2 linked regions of the Arabidopsis thaliana genome follow. The protein of the gene in region 1 binds, or shares a complex with, the protein of each later gene. Each region holds a gene or a part of one and is shown in the gene's direction. Other genes may lie near its edges.

Region 1 (9,116 bases):
CACTGGCAAGCCTCGCATAAAGCTATACAGTGACAAGGCGACAGGAAAATTAAAAGGCGATGCTCTTATCTCCTATATGAAGGTAATGGCTATATTTGAAGTTCTGTCCTCATGGGATGCATAAGGTTATGATTTTAAACTTTGTCTATTTTTCATCTTCATGTGTATTTGTTTTTGTTTTCACTAGGAGCCCTCAGTGGATCTGGCAATTAAAATCTTAGACGGGGCTCCGTTACGTCCTGCTGATAAGCTCCTCATGTCAGTTTCTCGAGCTAAGTTCGAGCAGAAAGGTTAATACTATTGCACATTTGTTGTATAACAACTTATCGGTTATGTAAAACATCCCATCTGTGGCTTTAGTTTCGGCAATATTTTACTTATGGTTTTTATTGGCTTTACTTTTTTTTTACTCAGGGGAGAGATTTATAACTAAGCAAACCGACAACAAGAAGAAAAAGAAGCTTAAAAAGGTCGAGCAAAAGTTGCTTGGATGGGGTACGTTTTCGCTTTCGTGTACTAAAAACTTACCTTATCTCTAGAAAGACGCATAATAGAGAAATATACTAGGAGATGCTAGAGATTCATTTCCTTACGACCATAGGAAGGTTTATTGTTAAAATTATAATTTCTTTTACTAGGAAAAGATGTATCTATATTGTCTGTGCTTTACCAGATCTTTGTGGAACTCTCTAAACTTAACCATTACTTAGCAAAAAGACTGCACTAAAGACTTTTAACCTAATCAATTTTGGAAAGAAACCTTTTAATGACGAGAGTTTAGAAACACGATATAGGGGTTACAGACATATCATTCTTTTCTTATTCTTTCTGGTGACTTGTGATATCTTAACTGATGAGCGTTTCCTGTTATTGAGCCATTTTTTCCTCCTACTATGTTTATTTAGGTCAGTGGCCATTGCGGATGCATGGATCAAAAGGGAACATATAGTCATGTCAATATTATCTATTTCTGATTATTCCTAGTTGATTTTGAGCATATTAAAATCAAAAGAAATGACCATTTTAGTTGTTGAAGTTGGAGATTGTTCCTAGTGGATTCTAAATTTTATCACATTTCCTCTCTTTTGTTGACGTAGGTGGTACAGATGATTCTAAGGTCTCAATACCTGCAACGGTTGTTCTGCGCTACATGTTCAGTCCAGCTGAGTTGATGGTAGGTCTTGTCCAATAGTTAATATGAGAAATGTTGCTATTTTTAAGAGTAGCTGATATAGCTTTGAGCATTTACTCTGTTTGCAGGCTGATGAGGATCTGGTTGCTGAGTTAGAGGAAGACGTGAAAGAGGAGAGTTTGAAGCATGGACCGTTCGACTCAGTGAAGGTAATAATATGATTTCTTTTTATCTTAAGCTGGTGGTCTTGCTTGCTGCATATAGCTTTGTGGAAAACTTGAGATTATTTTGGAGTACCAATCGAATCTCTTCTTTACAGGTATGTGAGCATCATCCACAGGGTGTTGTTCTTGTAAGATTCAAGGATCGGAGAGATGCACAGAAATGTATAGAAGCAATGAACGGTCGATGGTACAAACTCTCCTGAGTCATCATTTCCGCCTAATTGCCATTAGAGTCGGTATTGAGTCTGATGCTTACATGTACTTCTTTCTGTTTCTGGATGAATGCAGGTATGCAAAGAGACAGATACATGCGAGCCTCGATGATGGATCAGTGAACCATGCTACAGTTAGGGATTTTGATTTGGAAGCGGAACGGTTAGATCAGTTTGCAGCTGAACTGGAAGCTGCTGAGTAAAAAACAAAAGCACAATGATCTAAAGCTGGGAAGATTTGGATTATTATTCTGGGAAACTCAGGTTTCTGATGTAAATCACTAGGCACAGACACATCTGAATCAGACCAACGCAAACCCAGAGGACCGGTTTTATCTAGTACTAGTAGTATTACCTGTAGTGAAATTAACGAATAAGACTGCACTTGCAAGTGTATTTTGATATTCGTTGACTAAAAACCTTTACTACTATGTAATACGATTTTCTTCTAGAAATTTGAAAAATCGGAATTTAAAAGTTATGCTTCACTATATTTTTTCCTTATTTGTTAAATCATGATACTTAGCAGTTTTTGTGTGACACCATCACATGAATTTTTGTTTCTATCAATCATTTGTTTAAAATACTTTGTATTGTAGTTTGGACCTAAATTTCATACTTTTACAGCAGAATGTTGTCAGATGATCTCTAATAACAGAATCTTTATTTTTCTGTTTTTCTTATTAAAAAGTTTCGATTTTTTTCAGATTTCCCGCAATGAGGCAAAAGAAGCCGCCGAGTTGAAATATTTTGAAAAAAATGGAAAAACCCAAAATATTTTCAAGTAATAATTAAATGAAGTTAAATACTGTTGGGGCTAGTTGACGAAAACAAAAATTGTTGAAAAATGATCTAAATCTAAAGCTATGCGGGACCCGCTAATCTCTTAACCAATGAGAGAACGACGTATGTCACGGAACATGTGTTTCTTTGCCGCACCAAATCCCTCATTTAATCAAAAATCAACCAAAGATCCAAATTTCGAAACTTTTTAGTTTTTTTTGCATATCGCAATTTCCACAAATTTTACTGTTTTCCTTGGCTGTTGTTGTGTCTGAATCTCCAAGAAGAAAGAGTTGTGTCTTTAAGATTCTGCTTTTACCCAAATTGGGTGTTCTTTTTCCAAGTTTCTGAGAATTAGGGTTTCCGCGAGGACTCTGTTCAAATCGAGCTGTTTTGGACTTGTTTGAGCTTGGTCAATTCTACGGTAATTGATCTACCCTTTGCTCTCTATTCTACTTACCGAAGTAGTCTAGTGTCTCTGCTCAGTGGCAATTGCGAGACTTTGTTGTCGGTTTGAGCTATTTCGATTCTGTTGTCGAAATTTGGAAACTTTTTTTGATTCTCTATAGACGTATCTTTGGGGCTGAAGAAAGGGATTTTGTTATCTGAATAGTTTTTGAAGCTCAATTTTGTTACGGTGAAATTCTAACAAGTTGGTTCCTTTTTGTTGAATTTTTTTAGGGTTTTTTGGTATAGAGGACGAGGAATGTTTTATTCGCAGTTTATATTAGCTAAGAAAGGGCCACTTGGGACAATATGGATTGCTGCCCATTTGGAGAGGAAGCTTCGAAAGAATCAGGTCGCTGATACTGATATTGGAGTCTCCGTTGGTGAGTATTTTGCTACCTTTTGCTTTTGTGTACAATACCTCTGATTCAGGTCTCAGTTCGTTGTGCTCACTAGGGTTAGCAGAAGCTAAAGTTTCCTTCTTTTTCAGTTGTTATGTGGCTAAACAAGTTCATCTAAAATATTTCCTAATATAACTAATTTCTTTTTCTGAGCAGATTCTATTCTCTTTCCGGAAGCTCCGATTGCATTGCGATTGTCTAGTCATCTTCTGCTTGGTGTTGTGCGTATATATTCGAGAAAGGTGAATTACCTCTTTGATGATTGCAGTGAGGCATTGCTTAAGGTAAAGCAAGCTTTTCGCTCTGCTGCTGTTGACCTACCCCCTGAAGAATCTACAGCGCCGTATCACTCTATTACGTTGCCAGAGACATTTGATCTTGATGACTTTGAGCTTCCAGACAATGAGATCTTTCAGGGGTTGGTTTCTTTATGTTTTAACATTCAAACTCGTATTCCACTCTTACTCCAATTTGCATAATTTGTTTATTTGTTGCTCCTTGTTTTCCTGTCTAGCAGTAATTACGTTGATCATCATGTTAGTACAAAAGAGCAGATCACCCTTCAGGATACCATGGATGGCGTTGTATACTCAACGTCACAATTTGGATTAGATGGTCAGTGGTTGTTTCATATTTGCTTGTCTTTAGTTTGTAGATAGCTATGCCGTAGATAAGCAAAGTCATTTTAAAACTTTTGCAGAGCGATTTGGTGATGGCGACACTTCTCAAGCTGCTTTGGATCTTGATGAGGTATTTTTGTGTTTATAATAGATATTTTCTACTTTGTTCAAGTCATTTTGGAACAAGAAATAGGATAACCATATAGAAAGCTGAATATGAAGAGGTTATCTGTAGATTTCATTTGCTTTTAGATTTTGGGTTCTTTCTCTCCTCTGTTTGGGTAGACGCAGCAGCTGGAAGCTCTGATTGGTATCCAGTTGCGGAGTCCTAGACCGTGAAAAGCTTGTAATTTGAAGTGTTAGGTTGCAGTCATGTTGTAGCGTCAGGATAATGTTGATGTTTTCTTTTTCTAGTGAAGCTTTGCATATTTGCAATCAGAACTTCTCTCTTATTATTTTGGATGTGATCTTTTATCATTCCTCTCTTGTTGTGCAGGCAGTATTCCAGGACAAGGATGTTATTGGATCCGACGATGAGGGAGTTCCAGGGTCAGTTTTTGTTCATTATCTTTGGCTATATTCTTTGTAGCATAATTGCTTTTATGCTTCCCTATGGTTCCTCTCAAATTAACTATCGAAGTGTCAGCTTGATCTTCTTTTCTGGAGCTGTTCAGTACCTTTTCTATATTTTCATACCGCTACTTCAGATTGTTATCATAGATTTTAAATGCTCACATTAGGGAAGATCTCGAGTTGACTGAATGATAAAAAGCTTTGCGTTTTGGCGCTTGAATGTGTGTGTTTCAAGCTTTGTAACCATGCTTTTTAAGTTCCATGACATTCATACCTTGAGTTTGTGTTTGTTCTGTAATTGGATTGTGAATTAGAACTGCAATTCTGTGAGTCTTATCCTTCTTGGATGTGGACCTTTGGTGCATAATTTGGACGTGCAAATTATCAATCAAAAGTTTTACTTATGTAAGATATTCTATTTGTTGATAGTATTGATCACAACGCGTATCTGGATGCGGCAGCACCCGGGATAAAGGATTCGATGGAAGGAGTCTCTGAAGCCATGCCCATGGATTTTAATGAAGAGCAGGTGCGTACCATACATAATGCACGAGGGCATACCTATAGTTGCTTAATAATTGTCACCTGAGTCACAGTGCTTAATGTGATATATTTTACTTTGCATTATGTCTGAATGTACATTGCAGTTACAGACTCCAAATTTACAATTTGTTTACACAGATTTATTGGCTTACTTTTCTGGTAAGACTATTGGATAGTATTGTGAATCTCTCTTTTTGATAGGTTGAAGATCTTGCTATGAATAATGAGTTCATCGAAGATGCTCAAGCTCCTCAAACTCCTGGATTAGTTGAGGTGCCAAACTCGTCTAGTGTGAGAGAGCAGATGGCATGCGATGATCACATGGACGTAGAGGATCTGAATGCAGAAGAAGGTATAAAGTCCTCTGGGGAGCTGAATGCTAATGAGATGCCTAAACGTGGGGAAGACCTGTCTTCTGAATATAATGCCCCAGAATCAGCAGTTACTCCTGTGGAGGTAGATAAGTCACAGATAGATGAAAATGTCAACACACAAAATGAGCCGGAGGAGGAGAGGGCAGAGCATGTACATGTTACATCTCCATGTTGTTCTCACATCACCACCGAGATGGAGGATCCTGGTCAAGTAATGAATGAGGCAGGAGCTAATGTTGTACCTGATAAACCCGATGCTGTTCCTCCACTTGAAACCCCTGGAGAAGAGAACCGAGGTTTGTTGGCAAAGAAAATTGCAAACCTTATACGACATCTTAGTGCCTGCCTTATGCTTATAATTTTTATTGTTGCCAGATCATTTTGCCATTGCCACTGAGGTCAATCAGGAAACAGATTCTAGTTTACAAGGAGATGAGCAAGCGTACAGTAGACCAGATGGGCAGCTGAATAATGCACACGAAACTGATGAACAGTTGGGAAATTTGACTGGATTTACCGATTCTGATTTCCCTCCACCTGAGAAGGTATTAGCTGTACCTAACAGACAGGGGGATGGAAATGATTTCATGGTTGAATCTACACCAGATAAAGAAGACCCTGGCACATGTAATGATGATGCGGGGAATAATAACATTACTGGGAAAAAACGCACTTTTACTGAGAGCACACTAACTGCAGAAAGTTTGAACTCTGTGGAGTCAGTTGGACTGATTCAGTCAAAGAGAACTGCAGATTCTGTCCCTGATGACGATGATTTGTTGTCTTCTATCTTAGGTATCAGTTTATTTTGGATACTCTGTCTGTTCTTTTATACATTCTATTGCTCTTTGAGCTAGCTTTATGGATCAATTATCGTTGAATTTTTTTTTTTTTTCAGTTGGAAAGTCATCCTTTCTGAAGATGAGGCCTACCCCTGTGCTTGAACCAGCAACTACAAAACGGTTACGATCTGCTCCCCGCTCTACTGCCACAAAGAGGAAGGTTCTAATGGATGACCCTATGGTCTTGCATGGCGAGTATGTTTGTCTTACTGTTTTCTTATATCTGATTTTCTTATACCTTAGTTTTTTTGTTCCACTGCTCCAAGTGGACCTTTCATAGAAGTTCTTGTTTTAGCTACTTAGGTTCAAGACAGCTAGAGTCAGAAGTAAATTAATGTGAATCTTGAATTCGTTTGACTACTGATTTTTTCTTTACTGTAATTGGAGTTTGGTCTTCTTTTAAGTTTCACACCTTTAATTACCTAGGAGCGATATTTTTTTACCTTATCTCAATTTGTATTTGTTTTCTTCTGATGTTGCCTACTTTTCTGTTTAGCATTATACGTCAACAACTGACAAACACTGAAGATATACGGCGCGTGCGAAAGAAGGCACCTTGCACCGTTCCTGAAATCGTAATGCTTCAAAGGCAGGCTTTGGAGGATGGACTCTTTAAGGAGCCAATATTTACTGGTAAGTTCATGACACTAAAATGTAGACCGTTCTATACACGTTCTGTTGATTGTTCTTATAATCTGCAGTTATATAGCTAATATGTTTCACTGATTTTCAGGTATGTCAGTGGAATTAGTATCTCTGCACACTGAGCCGTATGATCTAAGAGGAATCATGATAATTGAGAATGATGACCGTCATGCTTCTGTTGGAGCGGTGGAAGATAATGAATGTTCTGTTACGGCCGTGGAAGAAAATAAAACGGAAGAAAGCTCTGATCCGCAAGCTCACCCAAATGATTGTGAGGAGCAACCTGGTACGGCTCATACTCACCCGCAGGAGGAACAAACCATAAACCAACAGGAAGAGCTGAAAGATGATAATGAGCTTGCTGAAAAATCTGACTTGGAGGTTTTGAAGGAAGGCAATGGAGCTGCTGATGAAGTAAATCTTGTAGTGATTGACGATGTCAGTCAAATACCGTCTGAGGAAAAACTCGACCGTGTAGAGGATTTACAGGTTGAAGAATCCCATGAAAACCATGATGGAGAAGGCGGGCAGGATGTTTGTGCGGATCCTAATGAAAAAAGTTGCACTGACGTTATTGAAATTGCTGAAGGCGATACAGATATCAACCCCATTTTCAATGAGATGGACTTGAAAGTTGAAGATGAACTTCCACATGAAGATGAGAAAACGGATGCATCAGCTGAAGTTAGCGAGCTTGGGAGAGACGATCAGACTCCATGCGATAACACAGTTGGGTCTACTGAAACTGGATGCCTAGAAGCTGGTGATTTGAGTAACATGGCTTTGGAAAATTGCAATGAACCTCTGGTGGAAGCGAATAGTGATGGGTTGAATCCAGAGACAGAGTCTTATAACAAATACGAACCGCATAATGAGATGTCTAATGAGGAGGCGTCTATGCAAAATGCATTAGATGGAGAGCATACTTCTCGTGATGGTCTTATGGGAGACAATGATGTAAGTTTCTTTGTTGCGTCATATCCTTATTCAAGTAAGACATGTCCCTGACTCTCTTGTTATCTTATGGTGTAGGAAATGGATACCATGGAAAATGCACATGACACAGGTTCTAAGCCTTTTCGAATTTCAATTCTTTTCTTTTCCAAATGGTCTGTATCCTCTTCATTTGATCAATGGGACTGATACTCTGGTCATCATATCCTGGTTCAAAACTGGACTCAACAAGCTTAAACTTGGAGCATAATTTGGATACGAGATGCTGCTAGTGCTATTCCCGATGATTTCTCAATGGTTCTTCTTATTAATTTCTTGCATTCGTGTCTTCAGGATTTTTGAACGTCGATGATGATGAAGTAGATGAAGATCATGAGGAGGATGACATACAATATGATGATGAAACTCGTCTTCTAGAAAACAGTGGATGGTCTTCTCGTACTAGGTCTGTACAGTTTATGACTTGCTCAGATTTTAGCTTCTATCATGTGAGAGACGTGATGTGATGGGCTTGAATTATGAAAGCTTCTGATTCTCTTTACTTTTAGGGCTGTGGCAAAGTATCTCCAGACGTTATTTGATAAAGAAACCGAGAATGGGAAGAATGTTCTTGTGGCAGACAAACTTTTAGCTGGGAAAACCCGTAAAGAAGCATCGAGAATGTTTTTCGAAACCCTGGTATGTCCATAACACAACCCTAAACTAAAAAAAAAACTCTGATCTTGAATCTGTCTTATTGTTTTGCCAATTTTGCAGGTTCTTAAAACAAGAGATTACATCCAAGTCGAACAAGGGAAGCCCTATGAAAGCATCATCATAAAACCGCGACCAAAGCTCACCAAATCCATCTTCTAGATGGAGAAGATCAGTCATATAGTTGCAGATAGCTAGTTTGGTCCAATCCGAGAATATCATTCGAAATGATTCTACTTCTCCAAAGTTAATACACTTTCCCTTTTTAAGGCAATGTAGTAGTAATAGTAGTATCAATGGTGTTGTAGGCTATCCAAGTAGCTGGAGATTGGTGTTTGTCATTATTTACCTTTATATATAATGAGTTGTTGTTGTATATGTATATATTGGTGTAACCATGAGCACCAAGTTTAAATTTGAGAGATGCTAATTTTATTTTCTTTGGATAACCAAAGTTGTCAGGTTTGTGTGATATTGAAACCTGAGAATACTGAGGAAACATTTTATTCAATAAATAGTACTTTTCATATAAGATAAAGTCTCTACGTTCTTGTGAAGTGAAATTGTTTCCTCAAATGGTTTTCTAGTAAATGATCCTTTTCCCCATTATTATCATCAACGATTTTAGAGTTAAAACTACAAGAATTCAAGAATAGAAGAGTCAAATGTACGT
Region 2 (7,666 bases), about 11 Mb from region 1:
GAAAAGTGTGTAGAGGGTTTTGTCTTAATTGGGTCAGAAGAAAGGAATATCAAAGACAAAGACAATTACTTAGGGTTTAATTGGTTTTCCCTTTGTCACTCGCAAACGCTGTATTTGCGGGTGCTAGCGATTGTTAGCGATTGACATCAATCATAGAAACCGCTAGATACTGCTTTACACCGTTCAAAATCGCCAGATTTCAAAAGCTCATTCCCGCAAGCATTTGCGGTTGCGGGCGGTAGCAGTTAGGTTATTTTTTTTTTTTAATTAATTAAAATAATTATGTCTTCTACCCAAACCCTATATATCTTATTCTTATTAAAAAAAACCTAATCAATATTTAACGGAAGATTCCAAAGATCCCAAAATCAGATTTCTAAGTGATGTTCAAAAAGAAAATATTCTTAAGAATATTAACGACCAGTTTGGGAAAAATTTGAGTTGGAGATGTGTTAAAAATCGTTTGGATATCTTGAAGAAACTTTATCATATGTATAGAGGCAATCCGGAAAACCCGCGAGTTCAACGTTATTTATAGTTTATCACACTACTTGATGCAATTTTTGGTATGTACCAAATGCATAAAGTATTAAACTTTTTCTTACAAAATTTATTTATTTTAAATTTAATGTTTTATTTATGGTTTTAATTATTAAGCATGTTTAATTTTTCTAATATTATCAATTTATCATAATAATATATTGTATTTTTCTTTCTTTTAATAGTAATATATTATATTTATTTTGGTTTTTTATTTAATTACTATCACACTTGCTGGTTTACCGGTCATAAAACTCCCGAAAACGCACCCATTATCAAACGCTTAACCAGTCGTTTAAAAGGCTTGATAACGCTTAAAACCGCAACCGGCCGTTTCCGCAAACTTGCGCAACCGTAACCGCACCCGCTGTATTTAAACCAGTCAGGCCCTTATATAAGAATTGATCAAATTATTGGGCTTTTAAGAGTTAGGTCGAGAGACTTTTTATTGGGCATAATTTTATTCTATTCAGGCCCATTCGCAACGTAATGCCACGTCGGACCAATGGTCTATGAGATGTCGCTGTCACTTAAACGCCACGTAGACTTTTAACCGGACACGTGTTATACAAAATGACTGTGCGCAGTTATAAACGTTTAAACGCTCTTAACGATGCGTGAAGGAGTGAGACAGCTCACATTTCCATCAAACTAGTCGTTATCTTTTAGTGTGGTAGTATTATATTATTTATTTACTTCTTTTTCTGTAGAATTTAGAAAAGGTAAATATAAATATGAAGTCAATAATCAGCATTAGCATATTTCAATTCAATTGTTATCTTCGTTGATTAATTTTTAACAGCAATGTTTTTTTTTTTCCTATTCAAAAAATTAACTTGTATATATATATATATATTTTGTTTATCCAAAATTAATTAAATAAATTATAAATTATCTAATACTATCAGACTATCACTCCCTCCAAAATTATTTTTTCTATTCTTATGGAAAAATAGGAAATTGCACAATTAAAAAGGAGAAGGTTTTTTTTTTTTTTTTTTGATCAACAGAGAAGGAAGTATCAATTAAAAAAAAATGCATAATTAAGAAGGTGTGATTTTCTGGTCACCGTCTAATTAGGAAAATTTAAATTTATGACACCTAATTCAAAACATTTTCAATTTCCAAAACTACATAACTTGTCAATAGACTTTAAAAAGTTTAATTACTCTAAAACGACTTGAAAATAAACAGATTAAGCGTGACTTAACAAGAAAAAAAAAAACTAAAATTAAAATTAAAAGAAAAAAAGTTAATCGGTTTAGTAAGAAGCTTGTTCCGTACACCGCTTGACCGTTTCCTTCTCCTCAATTTCTTCTCTCCCTCGCTTCACTATTTTACGAAGTTGCTCGCTCTCTCTCTCTCTCTCGCTGCTCTCTTAAAAAAAACTAACCTTTGTCTAAAACCCAGAATCTGGTAAACCTTCACACTCAAAAATGTTTTACTCGCATTGTCTAGTATCGAGAAAAGGACCTTTAGGAGCTATTTGGGTCGCTGCCTATTTCTTCAAAAAGCTTAAGAAATCTCAAGTCAAAGCTACTCATATTCCTTCTTCCGTTGGTTTGTCTTTCTCCTCCTTCACATTCTTCTTCTTCTTCTCTCTGTTCTAGTTAGAGATTTTTCTCCGGCGATTGGAAAAGTGATTGTTTGAGTGAAACTTTGCAGCTTTAGTGGATTTTTTAGCTGGAATAGAATTTTAGGGTTTCGTTTGTATCCATTGGCAGCGTTAATTAGAGATCACTGTTGATTTTGTTGGGGTCTTTCAATGTTACTTGTTTATGTTCATCAGTTGTTTGACAAAATGCCTGAGTGAACCTCAGAGATTGAGTTCAGTGATTTATTTTAAGTCTGAATAGTATCGAATCCTTAGTAGTATCAATCTGCCTTTTCTCATATAAACTTAAATCTAAACATTTCATCTTACTCACTTAGTATCAGAAAGCTGCTGGTCAACGCTTAGTTTGCTTGATCTCTAAAGTACTTGTATCCTCGAGAAAGATGGACTTTTTTTCTACAACATTTGACATTTTCAGTATTTTTTACTTTAATGACGTTTCTGATGTGTAATTCTTCGGGGGTTTTTTTTTTGGATGCACAGATCAAATCTTGCAAAAAGAGTTAGATGCGTTGACATACAGAGTTTTGGCGTATCTTCTTCTTGGTGTTGTAAGGATATATTCCAAGAAGGTTGACTTTTTGTTCGATGATTGCAATAAAGCGTTGATCGGTGTAAAGGAGTTTGTGGCTAAGGAAAGGAACAGAGAAAAGACAGGTGTATCATTGCCTGCATCTATCGAGTGTTTTTCCATTGCTTTACCTGAGAGATTTGAACTAGATGCTTTTGATCTTGGGGTTCTGGAGGATTTTCATGGGTATGCTTGTTATTTCTATATAGAATGTATTTCGCAGAGATTCTTTCATAGTCTCAACTCTTTTGTTTCTTCTTTCTCAGGGGAAATGTTAAGCCGCATGAAGATATTACACTTAAAGGTATCTTATCACTAAAGTCGTTTAAAGGGAATCTCATCACTGTTCATTTACTAATACCACTGCACTGCGATAAAACAGATGGAAGTCAGGAAACAGAGCGCATGGACATGTATTCGATGGAAAGGGTATGGTTTCTCACCTTATAGATTACTGAGTGTGTAACTGTTAGGTTCTAAGCTACTACAGCGTATATTGACATTGTTTCTTCGTTCCATTCCTTTTAATTCTGGTAATTTCGTGAATCTATATATGTAATAAAGATAATGCTTTGTGGAGTTGCAGTTTGACATGGAAGAGGACCTTCTGTTTACGTTTCATGAGACTTTCTCTACCAATCATAATGAAAATAAACAGTGAGTCTGATATTTTTGGTTCCATACATGTAATCGGCAAACACAATCCTAATTTTCTGTTTGTTGTTGCAGTGAGAGTTTTGCTCATGATATGGAATTGGATGCAGAAAATGTCAGAGATACCACTGAAGAAGCATCCGTCAGAGTCGTTGAAGCGGAACCACTGGATTCTAATGAACCATCCAGAGATCATCAAAATGCATCTAGGCATAGAGAGGATCCAGAATCAGATGACATTCTTCTGGAACCGCAAATGTCCGAAGATATCCGAATAGCTCAAGAAGAAGATACAGTTAGAGAAACCATATGTACCATTGTGCAGAGACTAGTGGATTCTCATGAATCCTCAGGAGATAATCTACACAGAGATGGTCACACAGAGAATTTAGAATCGGAGAAAACCTCGAAGAAAACAAGTTGCGAAGAGATGCAGCATGACAGGTCCCTCCCATCTGAATGCGGAATACCTGAAGCAATTCATGGGATTGAGGATCAACCTTCTGGTGCCACAAGAATTAATGGGGAGAAGGAGATCCCTGAGATGAGTACTCTAGAAAAACCAGAACCAGTATCTGTGACTGGTTCCAGAGACTTGCAAGAAGGCGTAGAAAAATGTCGAGACCATAATGAAGCGGAAATGGCAGACTTTGAATTGTTTCATGGGTCTCATAAAGAGCAATCTGAAACTTCTGAAGTGAATCTCCATGGTTCCGAGAAAGGTTTTCTCTCTGACATGACTGTTTCTAAAGACCCTAGTAGCGAATTTAATGCAACAGATACTCCAGTTACTGTCACTCCCAAAACACCTTCCCGGTTGAAAATTTCTGAAGGTGCACACTTTATTGAAATATGAGCTTAATATACTTTTAGTTACGTTTTTAGCGTGTTAACCTATACTTTGAATTACAGGGGGAACAAGTCCACAGTTCTCGATCATCCCTACGCCGGCTGCGAAGGAGTCTTCTCGAGTTTCACGGAAAAGAAAATGTCTGATAGATGATGAAGTGATAATTCCGAACAAGTAAGAGAACTATTTGTAACCTGGATTAGATTCGTCTGCAGAGTTCCGTACAAGTATGTAATATTTGGTTCTTTTGTTATTGTAGAGTTATGAAGGAAATGATAGAGGACTCAAGTAAATTGCTTGCAAAACGGAGAAACGTACCTCATACTGACTGTCCTGAGAGGAGAACCAAACGTTTTGCCAATCCTTTTCGAAGTTTTTTGGAACCTTTGATTCAGTGTAAGTAAAACCTGGTAATCCGCTGTATATCGTATTGTATTGTTGTGTTTGCTGATTGTTGTAATCCCGCAGATGGTTCTTCGGACCTCCAGTCGCTTTTTTGTCAACCCATCAAGCTTAAAAACTGGGCAACCACAGGAACCCCTAAAGATACTAAAATCGCTAGACATAAGGAAAAGTCTTCTCTTGACACTGTCAGATCTCCTGGGGTTATTTTATCTTCAGATCAGACTGAGAATACTCAAGAAATTATGGAGACTCCTCAGGCTGCTGCTCTCGCTGGGCTGAAAGTGACAGCCGGAAATAGTAACGTGGTTTCGGTTGAGATGGGAGCAAGTTCTACAACTTCTGGAACTGCTCATCAAACAGAAAATGCCGCAGAGACACCTGTGAAGCCTTCAGTTATTGCTCCAGAAACACCCGTGAGGACATCAGAGCAAACAGTGATTGCTCCAGAAACACCAGTAGTCTCTGAGCAAGTAGAGATTGCACCTGAAACGCCGGTGAGGGAATCAATGTCGAAAAGATTTTTCAAGGACCCTGGGACCTGTTATAAAAAATCCAGACCTGCAAGTCCCTTCACTTCCTTTGAGGAGCACCCGTCTGTGTATTATGTGGAAAATAGAGATCTTGATACGATTTTAATGAACGATGAGGTACTGCTGTGTTGCATCCTTCTGATAGTAGTTAAAAAGGTTTTTATAGTTCTTTTAGCCTATCTTATTTAATTGCAAGACTGAGCATTTTTTTTTTTTGTTTCTGCTTCAGCAGGTGAATGCAGATGAAAGACAGGACTTACAACAAGGTAAAACGCATTCTGAATTTTTGTAGGTCTCATGAGTGCTCAGGCTTTTATTGATTTAGTAGACAAGAATCTATTAAGTTTCTGAAATTATATGTAGCTTTGAGTGAAAGTTTCAACCATCGAAATATACGCAACTTATTTGGAATCCAAATCTTATCAAATTGTTCTTGTTGCATGTCGATCATCGTGCTGCGTCCTTACCATGTATATTTTGATTTGCAGAGACATGGTCCTCAAGAACAAGGTAACAGACTCACACTTTCGGTATCAACAGCTTCGATTCGCTTACATTCAGATGATTATCCTGGTTTTCTGACGCTGGATTGTACAGGAATGTGGCGAAATTCTTGGAAAAGACGTTTTTGGAACAGAGGGAAAGAGAAGAAGAAGAGAAGGTGAGTTTGTTGCAACTGTGTAGAGGAAGAACTCAGAAGGAAAGCGCAAGACTCTTCTACGAGACTTTGGTATTTCTCAATTTTTTTACAAGCACATGTCTTCACCGTTTTATCTGTCTCCATGAAAGACTTAAGATGGAGAAACTCTCTGAATTTGATTTTGCAGGTGTTGAAGACCAAAGGATACGTGGAAGTGAAGCAAAATCATCCATATAGTGATGTTTTTCTCATGCGTGTTTCCAGACCACAAAAAGCTTGTTGAAAAATGGATATTTTCTTCACTTAAGATTTTCCTCAGATTTCTTCAGTTAGGTTTCAGATTAATGTTGTTAGCTTTTAGTATCTTCTAACAAAATAGCTATTTTTAGTTTTTCTTTTAAGTTAATTTTTAGTAAGAATAATTGACGATCTAAAGTATATGTGTCTTATCAAGTTTTTAAGTTTTTAAAGAGTCCTTAGCCATGCTATAGATTGTTTTAACGACTAGCAGAATTGTTAACATGTGATAACGGGTGCCAGAGTTTCGTTAAGGACTGATAACGCTACATCTATTTTGATCAACGAATTTATATATTTCAAACGTTTATAAATATTTAGTTCACTAGATTTTAACTCGCGGTATATTGCGGGATGATTTTTTTTTTTAAAGTAGTATATATCAAAATTTGCAAAATATATGTATTTATAAAATATTGATTCAAACATATTCATCATATAACACCATTTCAAAATCCAAAATATAATTTATTCTGTAATTTTTTTATCCGTCTCGTAATTTGTTTTTTAAAAATATTAATTTCTAAAATTTAATAATTATTTATTATATATAAAAGTATACAAGTTGTATTATTCTCTAAGTCATTTATATTTTATAGTTTAACTTTATATATAATAACATTATACCACATAACATTTTTGGTTTTATACAATTTTTTCTAAAAAAATAATTTTGATATGTCTAATATTGGTGGTCTTAAAAAATAATAAATTAAAAATTTAACCCGTATTAAAGCGGTAGATTAATGATATTTTAAGTTTTTATTAATATTGAATCAAAAATCTATCCCTTCAAATCCGTTTTGCCAAAAAGCAATTTATTTTATTAATCTTATTTATGATATGACTATTCGGTAATTGGCATGTGATCCGTATTTAGATCCAATAAGCCTCATAATTAAGAGATGGATATTATTATTAAATGACTTTGCTAATTTTAATGACGTGAAACGATTTTGTTCTTGATTAGATTTTTTTAATGACGTTGTCATGTAATTAGTTAGAAAGTTAAGGTTATATTTTAAATTGGACTTCCCAAATAATATAGTAGGACTAGATTTTAACCCGCGGTATACCGCGGAACGATTTATTTTTAAAAGTAATATATATTAAAACTTGCAAATTTTATTTTTACAATATATTTATATTTTACAGTTTATAATTGTTATTAAGTAACGCTATACCACGAATTCATAAGACAATTGTTAAAAAAACTGAAGTTTTGACCCCTATTAAAACAGCATATTAATAATATTTTAAAATTTTATAAATATTGATTCAAATACATCCACCATATAACTCAATTCTAAAATAAAACACGTTCTGTAATTTCTTTACCCGTCCCATGATTTTTTTTTAAAGTAGTAATTTTTAAAATCTTAGAATTATTTTTTATATATAAAAGTTTTGCCAATTGTATCATTCTCTAATACATTTATATTTTATAGTTTAATTTTATATATAGTAACATTATACCTACCACATAACATTTTTGGTTTTATATAATTTTTTCTAAATTAGGATGATTTGATATGTTTAATATTAGTGGTCTTAAAAAATAATA

Evidence for each region.
Region 2: SYN4 (region 1) and SYN2 share a complex: the UniProt entries of both Arabidopsis thaliana proteins name them as parts of the cohesin complex.

The regions. Positions count from the first base shown.
Region 1 is NC_003076.8:5,313,726-5,322,841, forward strand, and holds SYN4 (sister chromatid cohesion 1 protein 4), read left to right. Parts: upstream 1-2,471; 5' UTR 2,472-2,775; intron 2,776-3,032; 5' UTR 3,033-3,057; coding exon 3,058-3,181; intron 3,182-3,355; coding exon 3,356-3,617; intron 3,618-3,716; coding exon 3,717-3,814; intron 3,815-3,899; coding exon 3,900-3,949; intron 3,950-4,315; coding exon 4,316-4,368; intron 4,369-4,821; coding exon 4,822-4,921; intron 4,922-5,136; coding exon 5,137-5,605; intron 5,606-5,684; coding exon 5,685-6,104; intron 6,105-6,207; coding exon 6,208-6,346; intron 6,347-6,647; coding exon 6,648-6,784; intron 6,785-6,884; coding exon 6,885-7,753; intron 7,754-7,828; coding exon 7,829-7,862; intron 7,863-8,083; coding exon 8,084-8,195; intron 8,196-8,298; coding exon 8,299-8,428; intron 8,429-8,506; coding exon 8,507-8,605; 3' UTR 8,606-8,975; downstream 8,976-9,116. Other genes in the region: ELF9 (RNA binding (RRM/RBD/RNP motifs) family protein), read left to right, coding at 1-82, 188-290, 415-495, 1,098-1,174, 1,261-1,341, 1,452-1,543, 1,645-1,771. UniProt on the Arabidopsis thaliana protein: Involved in sister chromatid and centromere cohesion during mitosis.
Region 2 is NC_003076.8:16,358,033-16,365,698, reverse strand, and holds SYN2 (Rad21/Rec8-like family protein), read left to right. Parts: upstream 1-1,820; 5' UTR 1,821-1,976; coding exon 1,977-2,100; intron 2,101-2,244; exon of another isoform or gene 2,245-2,638; coding exon 2,639-2,912; intron 2,913-2,992; coding exon 2,993-3,030; intron 3,031-3,108; coding exon 3,109-3,155; intron 3,156-3,312; coding exon 3,313-3,383; intron 3,384-3,455; coding exon 3,456-4,213; intron 4,214-4,292; coding exon 4,293-4,404; intron 4,405-4,489; coding exon 4,490-4,626; intron 4,627-4,698; coding exon 4,699-5,282; intron 5,283-5,394; coding exon 5,395-5,431; intron 5,432-5,653; coding exon 5,654-5,675; coding exon of another isoform or gene 5,676-5,679; exon of another isoform or gene 5,680-5,762; coding exon 5,763-5,895; intron 5,896-5,992; coding exon 5,993-6,088; 3' UTR 6,089-6,368; downstream 6,369-7,666. UniProt on the Arabidopsis thaliana protein: May be involved in sister chromatid cohesion during mitosis.